5 linked regions of the Oryctolagus cuniculus genome follow. The protein of the gene in region 1 interacts with the protein of each later gene in a biochemical or structural test. Links are inferred from orthologs where the notes say so. Each region holds a gene or a part of one and is shown in the gene's direction. Other genes may lie near its edges.

Region 1 (3,512 bases):
TTCCTCCAGATCTCCCGTGTGGGTGCAGGGGCCTAAGCATTTGGGCCATCCTCCACTGCCCTCCCAGGCACATAGCAGGGAGCTGGAAAGGAAATGGAGCAGCTGGGACATAAACCACCAGCATCTATATGGGATGCCAGTGTCATAGGCAGCACCTTAACCAGCTATGCCACAACGCCAGCCCCGGAGTCCAATCTTAATTATTCCCTCATGGATCAGACCCCACCTGTGATCTTGCTCCAAAGAGTTTCAGCAGAGTATGCTTCCTGGGCCCCCTTCTGGTGTCCATGCAAATTCAATGAGGTTTCCAGGGCCTGGTGCTAGTCATCCAGGAAGTCCTCCAAAGGGAAGAATCCATTGGCTTGAGGGGTCGCTCCATTCCCTGCCTACAAAGGTAGCAAAGTCAGAGGCAGATGCATTCGTGCGGACGCTCCCTTTTCACCCAGGGAAAATTAAACCTCTTCAAAGTGGGGAGAGGCAGAACTCAGTCCATCACTCATGGAAGTAAGCAGTAGTGACACCCTGCCCTGTAGAGATTGGCCGGAGGTGGGTAGGGGTCCCAGGTGTGTAGGTCCTTCTCCATTACCTAATCTGGATATCTGAGGAGCAATGGCTGTACCTTCTGTTCTTGTTTGAGGTTTGAAGGTGAAGCCCTGGCTGTCACTGTGGCCTGGCAATAACAAATATGGGTCACACTGAGGTCAACATGAAGAGACACAGCTCACTGCTTATCACAGTGAATCGGGAGCCTAGATAGTAATTTCTGGGAATGACATAAGATCAATATCCTCTATCTAACAGAAAAAGTACATCTTCATCTTCATGTCAGTCTAAACACCTAGCTTCTTACTATCCTGATGTTCTTTCTTCTGGGAAGTGTAAATTAGATATATTCCAATCCCCTCAGAAGTCAAGATACAAAAGACAAAATTTGACTTCCCTTTAAAATACATCGAAGCAGAAATCAATGCACACACTCTTAATTCCTGCCTGATTTTCCAGCTCATTTGGTAGAGTAAGGCTTTGTGCTGACTCCCACACTCAGCACCTCTGTCCTGGAGGACAAAGACTGTTCACAAACCTCCTTTCTGGGGAAGCAGGCTCCACAGATGAAAAAGTTAAAATAAAACTCATCTGACTAGTCTGCACTGCTCATTCACTACCATCACCAAGATCCTGAGGTCAATATAAGTTGTATTGCTGACTTACTGCATCTCAAAGATAACGTTTGCATTTCTGACTTTTATTTCTCAAAGTGGGGTCTGTGAGCCATCTGTATGGGTAGTACCCTGGGGTGAGGTGGTTAGGTCTTGATAATACCTGGTCCCCACACTACACCTGTGGCAACATCTTTTTTGGGGCCTGCATTTTAAACAGCTTTTATAAGCTTATAAAGCTTTTTTTTAATATGAGCCATTCTAAATACACACTGAAGTGTGACGAGTATAGCATAATCCCTTACCTAAGTATGGTCCCAAGTCCAAGTGCCTCAACATCAGCTGGGCATTTGTTTAAAGTGCAGGATCTTGGGACACAATGCAGCCCTGCTGAACAGACTCTGCATTTTGACAGGATCTCCAGATGATTAGAAGGCAAAACTAAATTTTAGGAAACCCTAATATGATGGACACCTCCATTACCCAAGAGTCATGACAAATCTCATCTATAAACCACCCAATTATTAAGAAGCATCTTCCCAGTATTAAAAAATTTCAACTAGTCAGTGTTCAGATTTCTAAAGATCTTTTGCACTGTGATAAGGATGGATTGTGCCTGGATGATTCAATTTCCTTACTTTCCCTGAGAAGCAATTTCTTTTTACCCACATAATTATCGACTGTGAGCTGCTGCGCTCTCAAAGGGACACCGGACAACGGAAGCTCCTTGGAAGGCACCTATCTTGCTTAGCATAAACACACACACCTGCTCACACCTCCACCTGCCACCCCGCAGCAAATGCCTGGTCCTCAGAGGAAAGCTAGCTAAGACGGAAAGGTCCCATAACGACGCAAGAAAAGCAAGGAAAAAATAATGCTTAAAACACCCTCACACTCCTAATTATCTCTTCTAATATCCTAGCAAATGGTGGTGGTTAACGAGGAGCAATTTAAATCTCCCGGGGTTGGCGGGGCGGGGCAAAGGGAAAGTACAGAGAAGGTGTGGCGATTGGCCAGAGGGAGAGCCAGTGGTGCGTCAGGCTCCCTGCGGGGCGGAGCCTATTCACAAGCTTGCCCGACGCTAGTGCACCACTCGCCATCCTGCTCTGGCTCCAGGGGTGGGGCATGTTTTGTCCCACTTCCGGAACCTGCTCACGCCCCCCGGGTGAGGTACGAGCCAAAAGATTGGCTACCAGGATGTGGGCGGGCGCGCGGAGATTGGCTGACGCGTCTTGGAGGCCAGCGGGGATAGGTTAGTGGGAGGGCGGAAGGTTTGAATGGTCGAGACTCGCGGCTGTTGATGGGCTTGTCCAGAGGCTCTAGCGCTGGCTTTCTGACCTGAGGGGCGGCGAAGCCCGACCCTGGCCTACGCAGTGGACAAGCGGAATTTCAAGCTGGTGAACCGCGTCCTTTCATTCTGCTCGAGTCTTCGCTCGTGTCCGACCGCTACCCACTTTCTCCCGAAGGCCGTTGTCAGACTACAAACGTGAGGTAAATTTGGCCGCTGTCTCCGCCACAGAGTGCCCAGGACCTCATTGTCCCCTCGATTAGTTCAGAGGACGGAATGGGCATTGCCATGACTTGGGAGAGCTGAGCCCCTTCCAGGTAGGAGTGTCCAGTTGTGTGGCTCTGAGCAGGTGGAAGGTCTGTCTGTATTCCGCGGTTAAAGTCCTGAGGTTGCCTCTCAGTAAGTGCAGGCTCTGACGCAAAAGCCCCGCCGCTTCGGGCCAGTGCCTTAGGCGTCGAGCGAGGCTGTGATCCGCCCTTTGGGGATGCCCCTGGTGCGGCTCCGGTCCCCTTGACTGCAGACCTGAGGGGGTTGGAATCGGAAGGGGCTGCGCTGCACTTACAGGAGCGACGTCCTCTTCTCGCTAGGTTTCGCCTTTTCCTTGGTGAGAGCTCCGAGACCATGGCTGCAGATCTCTTTTCGTCCACGAGAGAGGAGGGGAGCTTTGGCTCAGGCCCCAGTTTTAGGTCCAATCAGAGGAAGATGCTACACCTGCTCTTGGAGAGAGACAATTCCTTTACCCTCTGTCCAGAGCTCCCGAGAACTCCAGGGGACAGACTGCTTGGTGATTCTGCAAATCTCAGCGTTTTGTCTGGGTAAATCCACCTTTATTCTTAAAGCTTATATCCTTGACTTCTCTAAACAAGTGTGTGTGTGTGTGTGTGTGTGTGTGTGTGTTTTGTTTTTTAAATTATCCTGGCTCAAAGATCAACATTGGAGTCTCAGCTCTGCTCTGACCCTTTTGAATCTCAGACTACTTTTCTGTTGCATGGAACTAATAATCTCTTCCTGTCTTCCTGGGTTCTGGTAAGAGTCAAATAATGTGATATCTGGGAAAACTCCATATC
Region 2 (3,512 bases), on another chromosome or scaffold:
CCAGGGAATAGATCATCGATCAGTTGATTGATCTCTCATTCACTGCCCTTCATTTAAATAGGGGAAAATGAGATCTTTCTAATTATTTATTATATAAGGCATTTGTTTCCAGTTATTCTCTGATTATATCGAGCCACTCTCCCGAAGCAGAGGGAAAAATTCTCAAATAAAAGTGCAAAGACAGGTGTGGGTGTTGGTGCAGCAGGTTAAGCCACCACTTGGAATGCCTGCATCCTATATAGGGAGTGCTGGTTTGAGTCCTAACTACTTCCAATCTGCTTTCCTGCTCTATCATCCAGGAAGCAGTAGATGATGGCTCCATTGCCTGGGCACCTGCTACCCATGTGGGAGACCCACATAGAGTTCTAGGCTACTGGCATCAGCCTGTCCCATCCCTGGCTGTTGGCATTTGGGGAGTAACTCAGCAGATGGAAGCATTCTTTCGCTCTCTACCTTTCAAATAAATGAAAATAAACTTTTTTCTAATGTAAGCAGCCCTTTTTGACCAGTTCATTTTAAAGACCTGTCTCCCTCATGTTAGGAATGTCAGAATTCTAGTAGCTTGTTGTTGGACTAACTAGTCTCCTTAAGAAGAGCATATATTGAGTACCTGCTTTGCCTGGGGCTCCGTCTGACCCCACGGGACACCCTGACAAGATTATGGGCCATTCTTCCAGGGAGCCCCAGTAGGAAAGAGTCATTGTGATCCAGTGTGGCACACATGACTACAGACGCTAAAGGAGCAGCACATCAGAGGAAACTTCATGGAGGAAATGACCTCCAGAGTGCATGGATAGGTGCCTGCTCTCCAGGCTGAGAGGAAGCTCCTGGAGAAGTTCATTGACTAGTGCTGATCAGGAGAGCCAGAGTCAGGTTCCAAGAGGAAGCAACAGAAGGTGGAGCCTGGCAGTGTGGCAGGGTGCAGACCGCAGGTACCTGAAGATGAGGAGTTTGACTCACTGCTGCAAAAGGGTATGAGCAGATAAGTGACAGGCCATGTTTGTGTTGTGAGGAGTTCACAGCTATTTGGTGGATAGATTGGAGGTAGAGGATGAAGTCAGGGAGATGATAAAGATGAGGAACAAAGCCCTATACCAGATTCTGATGGCAGAGGTGGACAGAGAGAGAGGGCCGACTGAAGAGCTCCTAGACATTGACACCAGGGTCTGTGTCACAGATGTCACAGGGGGTCTGTAAGTGGGAGTTGAGGAAATTCTAAAATTCTGTTGTCCCTAGTGGAAAGAAACTGTCCCTTGGGATCCTGCAGATGTTATGACTGAACTGGAGTTGAGTAGAAGTGGTCATAGTGAGACCTCCAGGGTGGCTTTGGCCCTTAACTGTCTGTGCAGGTGAACTGCAGCCTTCAACCACTGTAGGGTCTGTAAACAGCTAATTTGCTCTGAAGAATTTTCCCATCTTGAAAGAAGGAGCTTTGATTCTTTAGGAATTTTGGCTGTCCTTTATAAAGGAATAGATGTCCTATGAGTAGCAAAGTTTGAAACTGTTGTTAAAAGAACATGGCCGGTGCCGCGGCTCACTTGGCTAATCCTCTGCCTGCGGTGCTGGCACCCCAGGTTCTAGTCCCAGTTGGGGCACTGTCCCAGTTGCTCCTCTTCCAGTCCAGCTCTCTGCTCTGGCCCGGGAGGGCAGTGGAGGATGGGCCCTGTACCCACATGGGAGACCAGGAGGAAGCACCTGGCTCCAGATCGATGCAGTGCATCGGCCGTAGCAGCCATTTGGGGGGTGAACCAACAGAAAAGAACTTTCTCTGTCTCTTTCTCTCTCTCAATGTCTAACTCTGCCTGTCAAAAAAAAAAAAAAAAAAAAAAAAAGCAACACAGGATATGATATGTCAGTGTGTTTTCAGAAAGATTGACAGCACAATATGCTTATCTCCAGTTGTCCCCTCTCATCCAAGGTTTTGCTTTGGACAATTTCAGCTACCTAGTGTCAACCATAGTCCAGAAATACTAAATGGAAGATTCTAGAAATAATTCATAAATTTTCATTTATTTTACTTTTTTAATATGTATTTATCTATTTGAAAGTAGAAAGGGAGAGACAGAAAGGGATCTTCCATCCACTGGTTCACTTCCCAGATGGCCACAGTGGCCAGGTCTGGACCAGGCTGAAGCCAGGAGCCAGGAACTCTGGTCTCCTGCATGGGTGGGTATGGGCCCAAGTATTTGGACCATCTTCTGCAGTCTCCCCTGGTGTGTTAGGAAGCTGGATCAGAAGGACAGTAACTGGGACTGAAACTAAGATGTGGGTGTCACAACCAGCTGAACCACCAGTGCCATGATGCTGGCCCCAATTCTTAAGTTTTAAGCAACTTCTATTACAGTATATTTTTCTATATTATTGTTAAATTTCTTAATTTGCCTGATTTATAAATGAAATCTTATCACTGATATGTGTGCATAGGAGAAAACGTAGTGTATCAGGTTCTGAACATCTTAGACTGTGTCCGTCAAGATTAAAGGGAATTGCTGTTTTGCCTGTAGCAAACTCAGAGGGTGCTGTTACTCTCACATAGATAATTCACACATAACACTTACTCTTTAAGTTAATAAACTTTTAAAATTACTGTTTGAAAAAAAGCCAGCTCTAGGTTATCAGATAGACCAAAAATCCCCGAAACAAGATAAGAGATTTTTGTTCTTTCACAAAGCTGAGATTGTTTGGGAAGGAAGGTGTGTGCTTTGAATAGCAGTTTCCTCTTTTTTCACCATTACTCCGTCATACTGTTGTTTCTGCCTCTGCCTGAACCCAAACCCCTCCCAGCCTGACAGAAGTGTTCGCTTACGCAGCTAGCACTGCCTCAGTTTGTGCCACATCCTCCACCTGCCGGCTGAGACATCAGAAGTCGATGTCGATGTCAGCCTGTGGGCACCCCAGGATGATGCTAACTCCAGTAGACAGTGGAGGGGATAACTTCAAGGCTGTGTAAGAAAAATCCACATTCCTGTGAAACTGCCGTGTACCCACTGCTGCTCAATTCTGTGCAGTGGATTTTATAGTCCAAGATTTTGTTACAGTCGTCCCCAAGGTGTCCTTCTATGTGATTGTGATTAAGCACATCCTGTCCCTGTCCTTGGTCATCTCTGTGTGTTTTTGTGCCTTTGCATACCACAAAGGGCAAAAGAAATTCCCTCTGCCTCCTGCGTTGCCTTCAGCATGTGGGATTTTATGCCATTTGTGTGCTTCCAGACATTTTAGTTGCCTGTTGTTTACTTACACCTCCATATCCTTTCTTTCTCTCACATTGGCACAGTTCTCTACATGTAAGCAGTTTGAGAGGGAAGCAGAGGGGAGAAGCCTGAGTCGGCCGTTCTGTCCTGAGTTCCCTTCCATTAATCTTGTCCTTAAAGACTTACGTAAACTGGAACTCCGTGAGGCTTTCTCTTACATGCTATTGCTTGGTCCTCTTTCCCACCTCCTTTTGTTTGTAAGTCCTATTAAGCACCTCTTGGATTTGGGTTTGTTATACCTGACTTTCTGCCTTGGGAAGT
Region 3 (4,235 bases), on another chromosome or scaffold:
TCTTAGGCCATCCTCTGTGGCTTTCCCAGGCACATTAGTGGAGAGCTGGATTAGAAATGAAGCAGCAGTCAGGACTTGACCCACTACTCCAATAGGGGATGCTGGCCTGCCAAACATAATATCCCCCACGCGCCCTCTTATCACCTCTAAATACCTTCCTGACAAAGTGTTTGAAGGAGATAAATTTCTTGAGATTGCATGTTTCTTGTCACACTCAATTCATAGGTTGGCTGGATATTTCAGGTTGGGAATAATTTACTTTAGGATCATTGTGAAGGCATTGGCCTGCTGTTTATTCCAAATTTTGAGAAATGAATACTGTCCTGTTTTTTGGTATGTCTTTTCCCTCCCACTCATTGCAGACCTCTTAGAATCTTTAAAGTTGTTTTTTTTTTTTTAAGATTTATTTTATTTATTTGAAAGAGTTACAGAGAGAGGTAGAGACAGAGAGAGAGAGGTCTCTCCAGATGGCTGCAACGGCCGGAGCTGTGCTGATCCCAATGATGTGTTTTAAGTGAGTCATTCATTTTGCTGAGTACTTTGAATTTTTAAATATGGAAAGTGAAGTTCTTCAGTTCTGGTAAATATTCTTGTATTCCATGTGAATTCCTCCAACCCTCTTTCTTTCTGAAAAATTACTTATTTTGATGTTGAACTTTCTGAATTAAATCTCCTAGTATTCTTGTTGCTTTCCATCTTCCTTCTGGGAGACTTCCTCAACTTTATTTTTCTACTTAAAATAGTTTTTTTCTGCTATATTTTTAGTGATCAAAAGCTTTTTTTTTGGGTTTGAATATTCCTTTGTTTTGACATTTTTCCAATTAAAGACTCTCAAATTCTTGGTTGTCTGCTTTTTTGACTTGGATCCTAAAAAGCTCATTGAAAGGTTTGCTAGGGGCAGAGCTTATTGATATCAGTTTCTTTTCTTTCTTTTCTTTTTTTAAGATTTATTTATTTGAGTTACACAGAGAGGAGGAGAGGCAGAGAGAGAGAGAATCTTCCATCCGCTGGTTCACTCCTCAATCGGCCACACTGGCTGGAGCTGGGCAGATCCAAAGCCAGGAGCCAGGAGCTACTTCTGGGTCTCCCACGTGGGTTCAGGGACCCAAGGAATTGGACCACCTTCTGCTTTCCCAGGCCATAGCAGAGAGCTGGATCAGAAGTGGAGCAGCCGGGACTTGAACTGGTGCCCATAAGGGATGCCAGCATTGCAGGCAGCGGCTTTACCTGCTATGCCACAGCACTGGCCCCTCAGTTTCTTTTCTTTCTTTCTTTCTTTTTTTTGACAGGCAGAGTTAGACAGTGAGAGAGAGAGAGACAGAGAGAAAGGTTTTCCGTTGGTTCACTCCCCAAATGGCCTCTATGGCCGGCGTGCTGCGCTGATCTGAAGCCAGGAGCCAGGTGCTTCTTCCTGGTCTTGGAAGAAGGACTTGGGCCATCCTCCACTGCCTTCCCTGGCCACAGCAGAGAGCTGGACTGGAAGAGGAGCAAACGGGACAGAATCCGGCACCCCAACCGGGACTAGAACCTGGAGTGCCAGCGCCACAGGCAGAGGACTAGCCTAGTGAGCCGGGGCGCCGGCCAGCCCCTCAGTTGCAATCTATTGTGATTGGGCTAGACTGTTAAATTGGGAAATCTCTGACGCTGATATTTTTAGGTTATTTTTCTCCTACATAGGTGAGCATCCTTTGAAAAGGTTTGTGTATCCTCTTACTTAAGTATATAAGCCAAGCTGTCAGTTTTCTGTTAGTATAGTAGGGAAGGAAAATCTAAGGCTCAACCTTCAGTGCATAAACTCAATTCTATTGCTTTAAAGTACTCAAGCAAAAACCATGCCTAACACGGAAATGCTGAACTCAGTTCATATGCCATGCATTTACCTTTTCTAGTATTATCCTAGTTTTGATGTTGACTAGATCCTTGGTGCATGGAGGAATGGGGATAAAAGGGACAGTGGTTTCTTTGTTTCTTATGGTCTTTCTGTCTGTTTTTAACCCCACTTTCACCTCTACATTCAGCATTACCTGGATTCAGCAATTCAACTTGAACCTTTTGGGATTTCTGAGATGTAAATAAGTTGCTTTTCTGTTTTCCTATTGCTATCTTTGGGATTTATCTTTATTTCACTTAAGTTAGTACCTTTCATCTAAAGGTCTTCCATTTTCCAACATTTTATTAACCATTCTTAATGGTTTTTTAAAAATTTATCCCTTACTATTATTTTTGTAAGGTTTCATAAGGGAACGATCTATTCTCAGAAGTGCTATCTCATATATTCTACCTTTAAATGGTATTCTGCCTAAATCTGCATACCCTTTTTCAGGCTAAAATGATGTATTCTATCCAGACTACATGAGAACTGTGCAGCTCCTTTTCCTTTTTTAAAAGATTTTACTTGTTTGAAAGGCAGTTATAAAGGAAAGACATCTTCCATCCACTGGTTAACTCCCCAGATGGTTGCAATAGCAAGAACTGGAGCAGGTTGAAGCCAGGAGCTTCTTGGACTCCCACACCAGAGCAGGGGCCCAAGCACTTGGGCCATCCTCAGCTGCTCTCTCAGGCACGTTAGCAGGGAGCTGAGTTGGAAGTGGAGCAGCTGGGACTCGAACCGGCGCCCATATGGGATGCTGGTGTCCAGGTGGCAGCTTCACCCCCTTTGACACAACGTGGCCCCTCCTTTTCCTTTTTTAATAGTGGCAGATGTCTTCCATTCACTGGTTCATTCCCCAAATTCCTGATCTCACGTGGGTGGCAAGAGCTGAAGTACTTGGGCTAAGACTCTCAGGCTCATTAGCAGGAAGGTGGATTGGATCTCCAACCAAGCACTCTGATAAGTGGGACGTGGGTGTCCCATGCAGTGGCTTAAACTGCTGCAGCACTATGACTGCCTTTATCTGACCTCTTCATATTGTTTGCAGCATACAGTATGCATCTAGAACAGTTGCTGTGTATTACATGAAACCGAAACTGTAATACCATGTTTCAAAGCTTCATACGGAAAGCAGCTGGAGATTTATTCTTGATTTCTGCCCCTAAGTTTGCTTCTTTTCAGTCAGACGTGTGCATATTTGGTGCAATATATTTTACACCTATTACTAGTATGACAGTAGCTCGTTTTGCTAGGTGTATGCGGCTCAGCTTTGAGGACTGGCATACTTAATGGAGATGACCGTGTTGGTACCTTGAATTCTCACTTTCCAGACTGTTTAGTTAAGTCCTTTTCCTCAGAGTTTGGTTTGCCATTCAAGTTTGCTTTTATATTTGTATTGTAAATTTTTATTTTGGCTTCCACTTACCTATTTCTTATACATTAAGAATTAGAAAGCTAGCAGAACTAAACTAGGCAGATGGTCATCCTTCAAAAAGATTGGCTGAAGTATTGTTTTGGAGGCTTTTCACAGACAAGGCAAAACTGGTTCTCCTGACATTACCGCCAACTCCAAAAACATTAGATGCCTCTGGCTCCCACGTCAGAATTCACTCATTCTTCACAGGCTCCACTCTCAACAGCTGTTGCAAGCTTCTCGGCTCGAGAATGGGTCCGGCACTCAAGCTGACACAGTGTTTACGACGCTGCCCGCAGTTCCGCCGTGCAGGTGCGCGGAGGTCGCGGGCCGGTCGCTTTACTTAGAATAGCGACGTAGCCTTTCCCGGAGCAAAGCGGGGACCCCCCGGCCCGCAGGGATGGCCCGCTTTGGGACGGAGGCTTCCCCTCCGCCCAGTCGGGCTCCACACACCGGATGTCGTTTCGCATTTGGCCCAGAGGCCAATTCCCACTGACGGGACGGGCAGCTCCTAAATTTCTTCAACCAGGAACCTCACGGATTACAAAGTAGCCCGTGCCCGGCAGGCTGAAGACGTCCGCTGGAGGCACCGCCTCCTGGCGCGGGGCGTTAGCAGCAGCCAGTCTTCAGAGGAGGCAGGCATGGGAACGTGCGCTGCCCTACTTTACGGCAAGGACGCGCTCGTTTGCGACACGGTGACGCAAGCAAGTTTTGGCGGGAAAAGCGCTGCATTTGGATTCCTGTAGTGGCGGGCTAAGGACAGCCTGGTGAGGAGTGGCCGGTTGGGTGGGAAAGGAACCCGGGGAAGGGGTTCGGAAGTTAGTGAGGAGGAACACAGTGAGAAAGTTATCGTTGACGGGCGAAGGCAGAAGTGACTCCCGCGGAGAGGCGGTTTCGGAAGGTGGAGGTGTATAGTACTAAGGGGGTCTCCGTTGTGTGAGTAGGGGGCGG
Region 4 (4,283 bases), on another chromosome or scaffold:
GGCTGAGTGACTTTAGCAACTGATTGGATGGTACAGGGTGAGGACAGAATTGAGAGGAGCTGTGGTCATTGCACGAACACTCCAGAGGAGTTCAGACCCCATCTCTGTCTCTGGCCCTGGGAAAGGTGGGCACCAAGCGGGGTCTGACTCCAGACGGCCCCAGGACCAGCTGCTGCTGCCTGTAACATCAGAATCACATATGGGTGCCGGTTGGAATCCCAGTTGCTCCATTTCCGATTCAGCTTCCTGCTAGTGCACCTGGAGAGGCAGCTGAGGATGGCCCAAGTCCTTGGGCCCCTGCCACTCATGTGAGACTCCAGGATGGAGTTCCTGCTCCCAACTTCAACCTGGCCCAGCTCTAGCTGCTGTGGCCATTTAGGGAGGGAACCAGATCTCTGTCTCCCTCCACTTTCCAAGCTCGGCTCCAGAGTGTGCCATTCCTGTCACTCTCTACAGGGGGCAGCACTGGCCTGGCCCGGCTGGCCTGGCCCAGGCGTGGGACCTCTAGGTACTGAATGCTGTAAGGGTAATGTGGGTGACACGCCCTGACACACCCAGACGAAAGCTAGAGCCTCCTCATCCAAGGTCCCAGTGTGATCCACCTATCACAGGTGGGGAACGCCCTGCCGGCCTGGGGTGAGTGGTTAAGGCTCAGGAAGCAATTTGATCTGGCCCTGCCAAGACAATCAGCAGGTAGACTCTAAATTCAATAAATCTATAGCAGGCTAATTTTAAAGAGATTTATTTATTTATGTGGAAGTCAGAGTTAGAGAGAGAGAAGGAGAGACAGGGAGATCTTCCTCCTGCTGTTCACTCCCCAGATGAGCACAGTGAAGCCAGGAGTTTCTTCCGGGTCTCCCTCGTGGATGGCAGGGGCCCAAACACTTGGGCCATTTTCTCATTGCTTTTCCCAGGCCGTTAGCAGAGGGCTGGATCAGAAGTGGAGCAGCCGGGACTGGAACCGGTGCCCATATCTGGTGCCCATATGGAAAGCTTTATGGGCTTTACCCACCAGGACACAATGCAGGCCCCAACAGCAGGATACTTTTTAAGCTGATCATTTTGTAAAGATGTTATAGGTAACCAAATGGCCCTGGAAGAAATAAGGCTCTCCATCCCCGCTGGAGACTCCGCCCATGCCTGCCCCTCACTGCAACTTCAGTGCCCACACCGAAGAATATGGAAAGGAAGGAGGACCCTTTAGCGGGACGCGGCCAGGGAGGGGTGTACGGGGAGACAAGCCTCAGTTAGCCCGAGCGCCCCACTGGCACCTGCCTGGCGACCGGCAGGGTAGCGCCTGCTTTACAGGGTGGGCGGGAGGCGGGGCCTCGAAGCGCGTCGAGGAGGAGGAGGAGCTTTTAGGTGACGCAAGGCCGGCAAGGGGCGTGGCTTCTCGGGACTCGCGGCCAGGAAGGGGCGGGGCTGTCGGTGACGAGACGCCGGGGTGGGGACAGGCGTTCATTGATAAAAACGCCGGGCTCCCTCAGGCGCGAGCGCAGCGTAGCAAATCCAGGCAGCGCCACGCGCGGCCGGGGCCGGGCGGAACGGAGAGCAAGCCGGGGCCGCGCTGCGTCGCGCTGTCCGCATGGAGCCTGCCGCCGGCTTCCTGTCCCCGCGCCCTTTCCCGCGTGCGGCCGCCCCGCCCGCGCCCCCCGCCGGACCCGGGCCGCCTCAGAGTGCCTCGCCCAGACCCGAGCCCGAGATGCTGGCCGGGCGGCCGGCGCCGGACCCCGGGCGCCTCATCACCGACCCGGGCAGCGGCCGCACCTACTTCAAAGGCCGCTTGTTGGGCAAGGTGGGTCGGGGGCTCTCCGTGATGCGGGTGGGGTGGAGGGGGCTCCGCCGATCTCTTTTCCGGCGTCGGGCGGGGTAGGGGCGCGTGACCCGACGCGGGGACGCCTGCCTGCGGGCCAGATCCGCCTTCCCTGGAGCTCCCGGCCTGATGGCCTCTCCTCATAGGGGGGCTTCGCCCGCTGCTACGAGGCCACCGACACAGAGACCGGCAGCGCCTACGCGGTCAAAGTCATCCCGCAGAGTCGTGTCGCCAAGCCGCATCAGCGCGAGAAGGTGGGTCCGGGCCCGGCGGCCGAGGGGTGGGGTCGGTGGCGTGGGAATCTTGGGAGGATGACCGCCTCGCACCCCCATCGCAGATCCTGAACGAGATTGAACTGCACCGAGACCTGCAGCACCGCCATATCGTGCGCTTCTCGCACCACTTTGAGGATGCTGACAACATATACATTTTTCTGGAGCTTTGCAGTCGAAAGGTGAGGAATGGTGATTCTGGCGGGGATGGGGCAGGGGGACGGCGGGGTGGGGGGGCGGTCTTAAGACTCAGAGCTGGGGGCGGGCGGAGGTGGCGTGGGGTGGGCTAAGACAGTGGCTCTCTGCAGTCCCTGGCCCACATCTGGAAGGCCCGACACACCCTGTTGGAGCCAGAGGTTCGCTACTACCTGCGGCAGATTCTTTCCGGCCTCAAGTACTTGCACCAGCGAGGCATCTTGCACCGGGACCTCAAGCTGGGTGAGGCTCCTGGGCCCCAAGGATGGGGGGTTGGGGAGGAAGCGAGGGAGGGCTCTGACACACCTCTCTGTCCTTGTCCAGGAAATTTCTTCATCACCGAGAACATGGAACTCAAGGTGGGGGATTTTGGGCTGGCAGCTCGGTTGGAACCGCCAGAGCAGAGGAAGAAGTAAGTGTTTGATGGGAGGGGTGGCCACAGTCTGTGTGTGACACAGATCAGTGTGTGTGGCAGACTGTGCGTATGGACGTGGGAGGCAGTGTGACGGCCGGGTGTGTGCTGGTGGTAAACGAGGAAAGGGTAATGGGGTTGTTTGTGTGCGAAGGTGGAGGTGGCAGCCTGGGTCGCTGTGACTGGGGAGGTGCATGACAAACACAGAGGGGGTTGGTGGCCCTGCGTCTGAGGTGCCAGGACTCTCAGAGGTGTGTGGCTGACCCTGGGTGTGGATGGGGGAAGGTGCCAGTGTAGACCTGTATGTGTGAGACAGAGAGCGTGGGGATGGTGGGACGTGACGTCCTGTGGCCATTGTGACTGGGCGTGCATGACACACGTAGCATGTGGGGCAGATGAGTGTTTACGGGCGATGTGACAGCTGGTGTTGGTGTGTGTGGCGCAGACCTTAGGAGGGTGTCTGACAGACGGGAGTGGGGGAGGGGAAGGGAGCTGTAGCAGGCCCTCTGTGGAGGAGGGGGCTGAGTTGGGGGTCAGGGCCTCTGCCTGTCCCATAGCGCAGCTGAGCAGCTGGGCCAAGAGAGTAGGCGGGGACTCAGCTGCCGTCCCCAGCATCCATTGTCCCAGGACAAGCAGGAGTTCTCTGGCCTTTGGTGACAGGCAGCTGCTTTGTCTGGACTCGCAGCGGGGGCAGGGAGGGCTGTGGGGCTGGGGCTGAGCCTCCCCCTCCTCCTCCCTACCTTCTTCCAGGACCATCTGTGGCACCCCCAACTATGTGGCTCCAGAAGTACTGCTGAGACAGGGTCATGGCCCTGAGGCAGATGTGTGGTCACTGGGCTGTGTCATGTGAGTGCCAGGGAGAGACGGGGGTGGGCACAGGGGTGCGGTGTGCCCTCCCCCTTACCCTTTGCCTGGCCCCACAGGTACACTCTGCTGTGTGGGAGCCCCCCCTTTGAGACGGCTGACCTGAAGGAGACGTACCGCTGCATCAAGCAGGTTCACTACACGCTGCCCGCCAGCCTCTCACTGCCTGCCCGGCAGCTCCTGGCCGCCATCCTGCGGGCCTCACCCCGAGACCGCCCCTCTATCGACCAGATCCTGCGCCATGACTTCTTTACCAAGGTCTGTGGGTTCCCCAGACACCGAAGCCCACATTCCCAGAGATAAATAGGGGTGGGGGGGACAGGGCCCGGGAGCCTCTTTTCTCTGTTCACGGCGGCGCTCCTCTTCCCAGGGCTACACCCCCGACCGGCTCCCCGTCAGCAGTTGCGTGACAGTCCCAGACCTGACACCCCCCAATCCGGCTAGGAGTCTGTTTGCCAAAGTCACCAAGAGCCTCTTTGGCAGGAAGAAGAATAAGAGTGAGTCTGAGCTGTCCGTAGGTTGAGGGTACAGAGTGGCTTGTCACACAGGCCGCGGGCATGAGGGAGCAGGCGTGGCACCCCGCGGGGAGCAGGGGCGCAGGGCGGGAGTCTGAGGAGCTGCCTTCTTCCCCAGACAAGAACCATCCTGAGGAGCGGGATGAAGTCTCCTGTTTGGTGAGCGGCCTTGTGCGCACATCCATTGGCCACCAGGATGCCAGGCCCGAGGT
Region 5 (3,512 bases), on another chromosome or scaffold:
GCAGCACTTGAACCTGTGCTCATATGAGATGCAAGCATTGTAGGTGGTGGCTTCACCTGCTGTGCTACAACAGTGGCCAAAAAGATATATTTATTTATTTGAAAGGCAGAGTGACAGAAAGAAGGAGAGACAGAAAAAGAGTGAGAAGGAGATCCTCCATCTGCTGGTTCATTCCCTATTGCCCCCCTGAACTGCCAGGGAAAAGCTAATACAAGCCAGGAGCCAGGAAATCTTGGATCTCCCAAATGGGTGGCAGGAATCCAAGTACTTGGGCCATCCATTGCCTCCCAGGTACGTTATGGGGAAGCTTTATTGGAAGTGCAGATAGCCAGGACTCAAATATGGGATAATATGGGTTGTGGATATCTGAAGCTGTGCCACAGCACCCTCCCTTACATGTCTTTTGGGACTGGCAGAGTCTGTTCATCAATACACACACAAACACATACACACACATGTGTATATATACTCTGTATAATATATGTTTATATTATTTGTTATTCCCTTTTGTGCTTATTTTTAGATTACTGATTTTGGGCAGTCCAAGATTTTGGGGGAGACCTCGCTCATGAGAACCTTGTGTGGTACCCCCACCTACTTGGCTCCTGAGGTTCTTCTGTCCATTGGGACAGCCGGGTATAACCGCGCTGTGGACTGCTGGAGCCTGGGCGTCATCCTTTTTATCTGGTAAGAAAAGCTTTCATTGCCTCACAGTCTGGTTGGAGGTGATTAGATGAAATCGTAAACTTGTTCAGATGGATTCCAGGTTTCATTGAGGTCACTTTTCAACCATGGATCTAAAGAAATACTTGATTTTTCATGGTAATGAAAAAGACATCCATATGTCCAAATGCCACTGAAAATGCCACTTGATTTCTTCTCCTTTCTCTTTCTGCCAATATTAAGCCTTAGTGGGTATCCACCTTTCTCTGAGCATAAGACGCAAGTGTCCCTGAAGGATCAGATCACCAGTGGAAAATACAACTTCATTCCTGAAGTCTGGGCAGATGTTTCAGAGAAGGGTATGGATACGAAAGGGTTAAGAGTCTGTGGTTTGCCAAAATGTGTGTGTGCTGTGGTGGGAGCTTCTTTTCAAATTCTATGATATGTTTTCTCCTGTCAATTCTGTTCTTAGCTTCTAGTGTTAGTTTTGCACCACTTGAAAAGCAGAGGAATTTTATTCTAAGAGCCTGGGCTCAAGTCCTGGATCTGCATAGCTGTTTGGCCTTAGGCAGGTAACTTAACCCCTCCCAGTCCCCATTGTCTTTATTTGTCAACTGGGCCCTTAATAACCCTTACTTTAGAGGCCTTTTATAAGGCTTAAGTATCCTTTATACAAGTGCCTGTTTCCCAGTTGAGTGAGCAAAATAATAAGTAACTCTTCAGTTGCAAAGTTTCCTTTAAGTAGTGTAAAAGCCAGATGCCATTGTATTTTATAACTTAAAAGTGCAACCTTGTAATTCCCTGAAGAAGAAGTAGAGAATGAAAACTAAATGTCAAACAATGTAACCTAGGTGATTCTGTTAAATGTCGGAATGTTTAAGGAATAGCATTGTTGGGGTAGATAAACCAGCCTGGAACTGTTGATTGCTGGAGTAGTTCTTTTCCAACAAGGCTGCAGTTCCAGGGAGCCTCTTTCTGGTTTAGGAACTGGCAGCATCAGCCCCTGGGTGAGAGAGAGAGAGAGAGAGCGCGCGAGAGCGAGCTGGCTATGCATCCTGAGTTTCTTACAACTGGGTGAAAGTTCAGCTGTAATTAGTTTTGAACTTGAGTCCAGTAACAGGGAACAGGAGCTGAGAGGTTGTAATGTCCCAGAAGGGAGACACAGGGAGTATCATTATCAACCCAGGTGTTCAGAGTAGAGTACTTTGGACACTGGGAGTGAGGAGGAACAGGGGCCCTGCCCACCGTTCTGCTGACTCCATGGTGATCTCAGACCCTCTCTCTTTCTGGATGGTGGCCTGTAACTCTGGTATACTTTAATATTGCTGATTCCATGTATTGATCCTTTTCACTGTGCTCTGCCCAATTATCTTGTTGCTTTAGCTCTGGACCTCGTCAAGAAGTTGTTGGTAGTGGACCCAAAGGTGCGTCTTACAACAGAAGAAGCTTTAAATCACCCTTGGCTTCAGGTTGGTGTGGGGCAATTTTTGCTAGCATAAAATACATGGAGGGCCCTCAAATGGCAGAGAGAGAGAGAGAGAGAAAGAAGAAGGAGGAGGAAGAGGAGGAAGAAGAGGACAGAAACACATTTGTTTCCTTCGGTCTGTTCAATTATTTTAGATCAAGCTGTAGGTAATAGGTAGGGTGTGGTTGTATGTATATTTGTGGCATGTAATCTCTGTGCTATTATTGAGGCTGTTGGATGGACAAGCACTTTATGGCTTATTCCAGCCCCACTTGGCTGCCCTGAGTCTACATTTGGCTCTGTTCCTTTGAGAGATTTCTCTGGCTCCACCCTTAACAATACTCCACCCCCACCCCCCCACCCCATTCCCTGCCGTCCCAGGATGGGTGGGCTGCATTCCAGCCATCAGCAGCCTTGAATCTGGGAACCTGGGGGAGGTGGAGGAGGGTTGACTTCCTGGGGGAGAATGCAGCTATTTCTCAAGCCCCAGTAATTGGATGTCAGGGTCCCACTTCTGGTTCATGGTGAGTAAGCATGCCATCAGTGTGGGCTGTCACCTGCACCTTTCAAGTCTGCATTACCCTCATCTTCCTGCTGGGGGTTGTGGTTGCCATTCAGTTGTGCACTGACCTCATTTGGAGCTGCCAGAGTTGGAAGTCCTTTGTGGCTTTGCTAGGGTAGTCTTTAGTTTTGGAATTAGCTACAGCATGGGGTAGGATTTCTGATGGATGTCTAGTCTTCTCAGTACAGCCATTCTTATTTCTGTTAACCTTTGGTCTCGTGTGTGCATGGTCTCTTAAGCCATGTCGCTCAAGAAAGAGGCCATCACTATGGGGATTGCTGGTCTAGGAACTCGTTGGACCATTTGGCCTCAGCTCCATACTTTTGGGACTCCTGGAAGATTGTGCCTTCACTCTTGCTACCCTCTACACCTAACAGTTTGCTCAACTCAGCTCAGGTTGAGAGCAGCAAATCCTTAAAAGAAAAAAAAAGGCAGATATATGTGTTTTGGATGTTGCCCTGGAAACTGCAGTCCCCCCCAGAAGAAATCTGTCAGATGATTTAGCATTTAATAGACCACACAGACTTGAAACAGCAGGACCCCGGAGCAAAGGAGTTTGGAGACAAAGGATGCCCTATGCATGTGGGGATTTAATTTTGGTGAGAAAGAGAAACATGCTTCTTGGCTCTTTTCATGTGTCCTAACAGGGAAACTCTTGGAGCCCAAATGTAGAGATAAGGAGCTATGTCCATTTGGCCGGGTGGGGGTGGGGAGTGGAGCTGGCCAGTTAGGCCTGGGAACAGGTTTGCATCTGCCTAGAATTTACGAGCAATCGCAGCCTATTTTTCTTGTGCTTTTTGTCTCAAAAGAAAACTGTTACTA

The links.
Region 2: of the proteins of CDC25C (region 1) and MARK3, one has a biochemical effect on the other in vitro, tested with the Homo sapiens proteins (3 studies listed by BioGRID, with this or other methods). The link is inferred for Oryctolagus cuniculus from reciprocal best matches to the Homo sapiens genes CDC25C and MARK3.
Region 3: of the proteins of CDC25C (region 1) and CHEK1, one has a biochemical effect on the other in vitro, tested with the Homo sapiens proteins (16 studies listed by BioGRID and IntAct, with this or other methods). The link is inferred for Oryctolagus cuniculus from reciprocal best matches to the Homo sapiens genes CDC25C and CHEK1.
Region 4: of the proteins of CDC25C (region 1) and PLK3, one has a biochemical effect on the other in vitro, tested with the Homo sapiens proteins (2 studies listed by BioGRID, with this or other methods). The link is inferred for Oryctolagus cuniculus from reciprocal best matches to the Homo sapiens genes CDC25C and PLK3.
Region 5: of the proteins of CDC25C (region 1) and CHEK2, one has a biochemical effect on the other in vitro, tested with the Homo sapiens proteins (14 studies listed by BioGRID). The link is inferred for Oryctolagus cuniculus from reciprocal best matches to the Homo sapiens genes CDC25C and CHEK2.

What each region holds. Positions count from the first base shown.
Region 1 is NC_091437.1:26,129,335-26,132,846, reverse strand, and holds part of CDC25C (M-phase inducer phosphatase 3), read left to right. Parts: intron 1-2,432; exon of another isoform or gene 2,433-2,762; intron 2,763-3,032; 5' UTR 3,033-3,066; coding exon 3,067-3,260; intron 3,261-3,512. UniProt on the Homo sapiens protein: Functions as a dosage-dependent inducer in mitotic control. Tyrosine protein phosphatase required for progression of the cell cycle. When phosphorylated, highly effective in activating G2 cells into prophase.
Region 2 is NC_091451.1:46,337,383-46,340,894, forward strand, and holds part of MARK3 (MAP/microtubule affinity-regulating kinase 3), read left to right. Parts: intron 1-2,784; coding exon 2,785-2,946; intron 2,947-3,512. UniProt on the Homo sapiens protein: Serine/threonine-protein kinase. Involved in the specific phosphorylation of microtubule-associated proteins for MAP2 and MAP4. Phosphorylates the microtubule-associated protein MAPT/TAU. Phosphorylates CDC25C on 'Ser-216'.
Region 3 is NC_091432.1:118,825,400-118,829,634, forward strand, and holds the start of CHEK1 (serine/threonine-protein kinase Chk1), read left to right. Parts: upstream 1-1,433; 5' UTR 1,434-4,051; intron 4,052-4,065; exon of another isoform or gene 4,066-4,220; intron 4,221-4,235. UniProt on the Homo sapiens protein: Serine/threonine-protein kinase which is required for checkpoint-mediated cell cycle arrest and activation of DNA repair in response to the presence of DNA damage or unreplicated DNA.
Region 4 is NC_091438.1:128,082,239-128,086,521, reverse strand, and holds the start of PLK3 (serine/threonine-protein kinase PLK3), read left to right. Parts: upstream 1-1,479; 5' UTR 1,480-1,585; coding exon 1,586-1,795; intron 1,796-1,959; coding exon 1,960-2,067; intron 2,068-2,150; coding exon 2,151-2,267; intron 2,268-2,393; coding exon 2,394-2,523; intron 2,524-2,604; coding exon 2,605-2,692; intron 2,693-3,442; coding exon 3,443-3,538; intron 3,539-3,615; coding exon 3,616-3,814; intron 3,815-3,926; coding exon 3,927-4,053; intron 4,054-4,189; coding exon 4,190-4,281; intron 4,282-4,283. UniProt on the Homo sapiens protein: Serine/threonine-protein kinase involved in cell cycle regulation, response to stress and Golgi disassembly. Polo-like kinases act by binding and phosphorylating proteins that are already phosphorylated on a specific motif recognized by the POLO box domains.
Region 5 is NC_091452.1:22,137,784-22,141,295, reverse strand, and holds part of CHEK2 (serine/threonine-protein kinase Chk2), read left to right. Parts: intron 1-523; coding exon 524-687; intron 688-906; coding exon 907-1,022; intron 1,023-1,135; exon of another isoform or gene 1,136-1,235; intron 1,236-2,046; coding exon 2,047-2,132; intron 2,133-3,512. UniProt on the Homo sapiens protein: Serine/threonine-protein kinase which is required for checkpoint-mediated cell cycle arrest, activation of DNA repair and apoptosis in response to the presence of DNA double-strand breaks.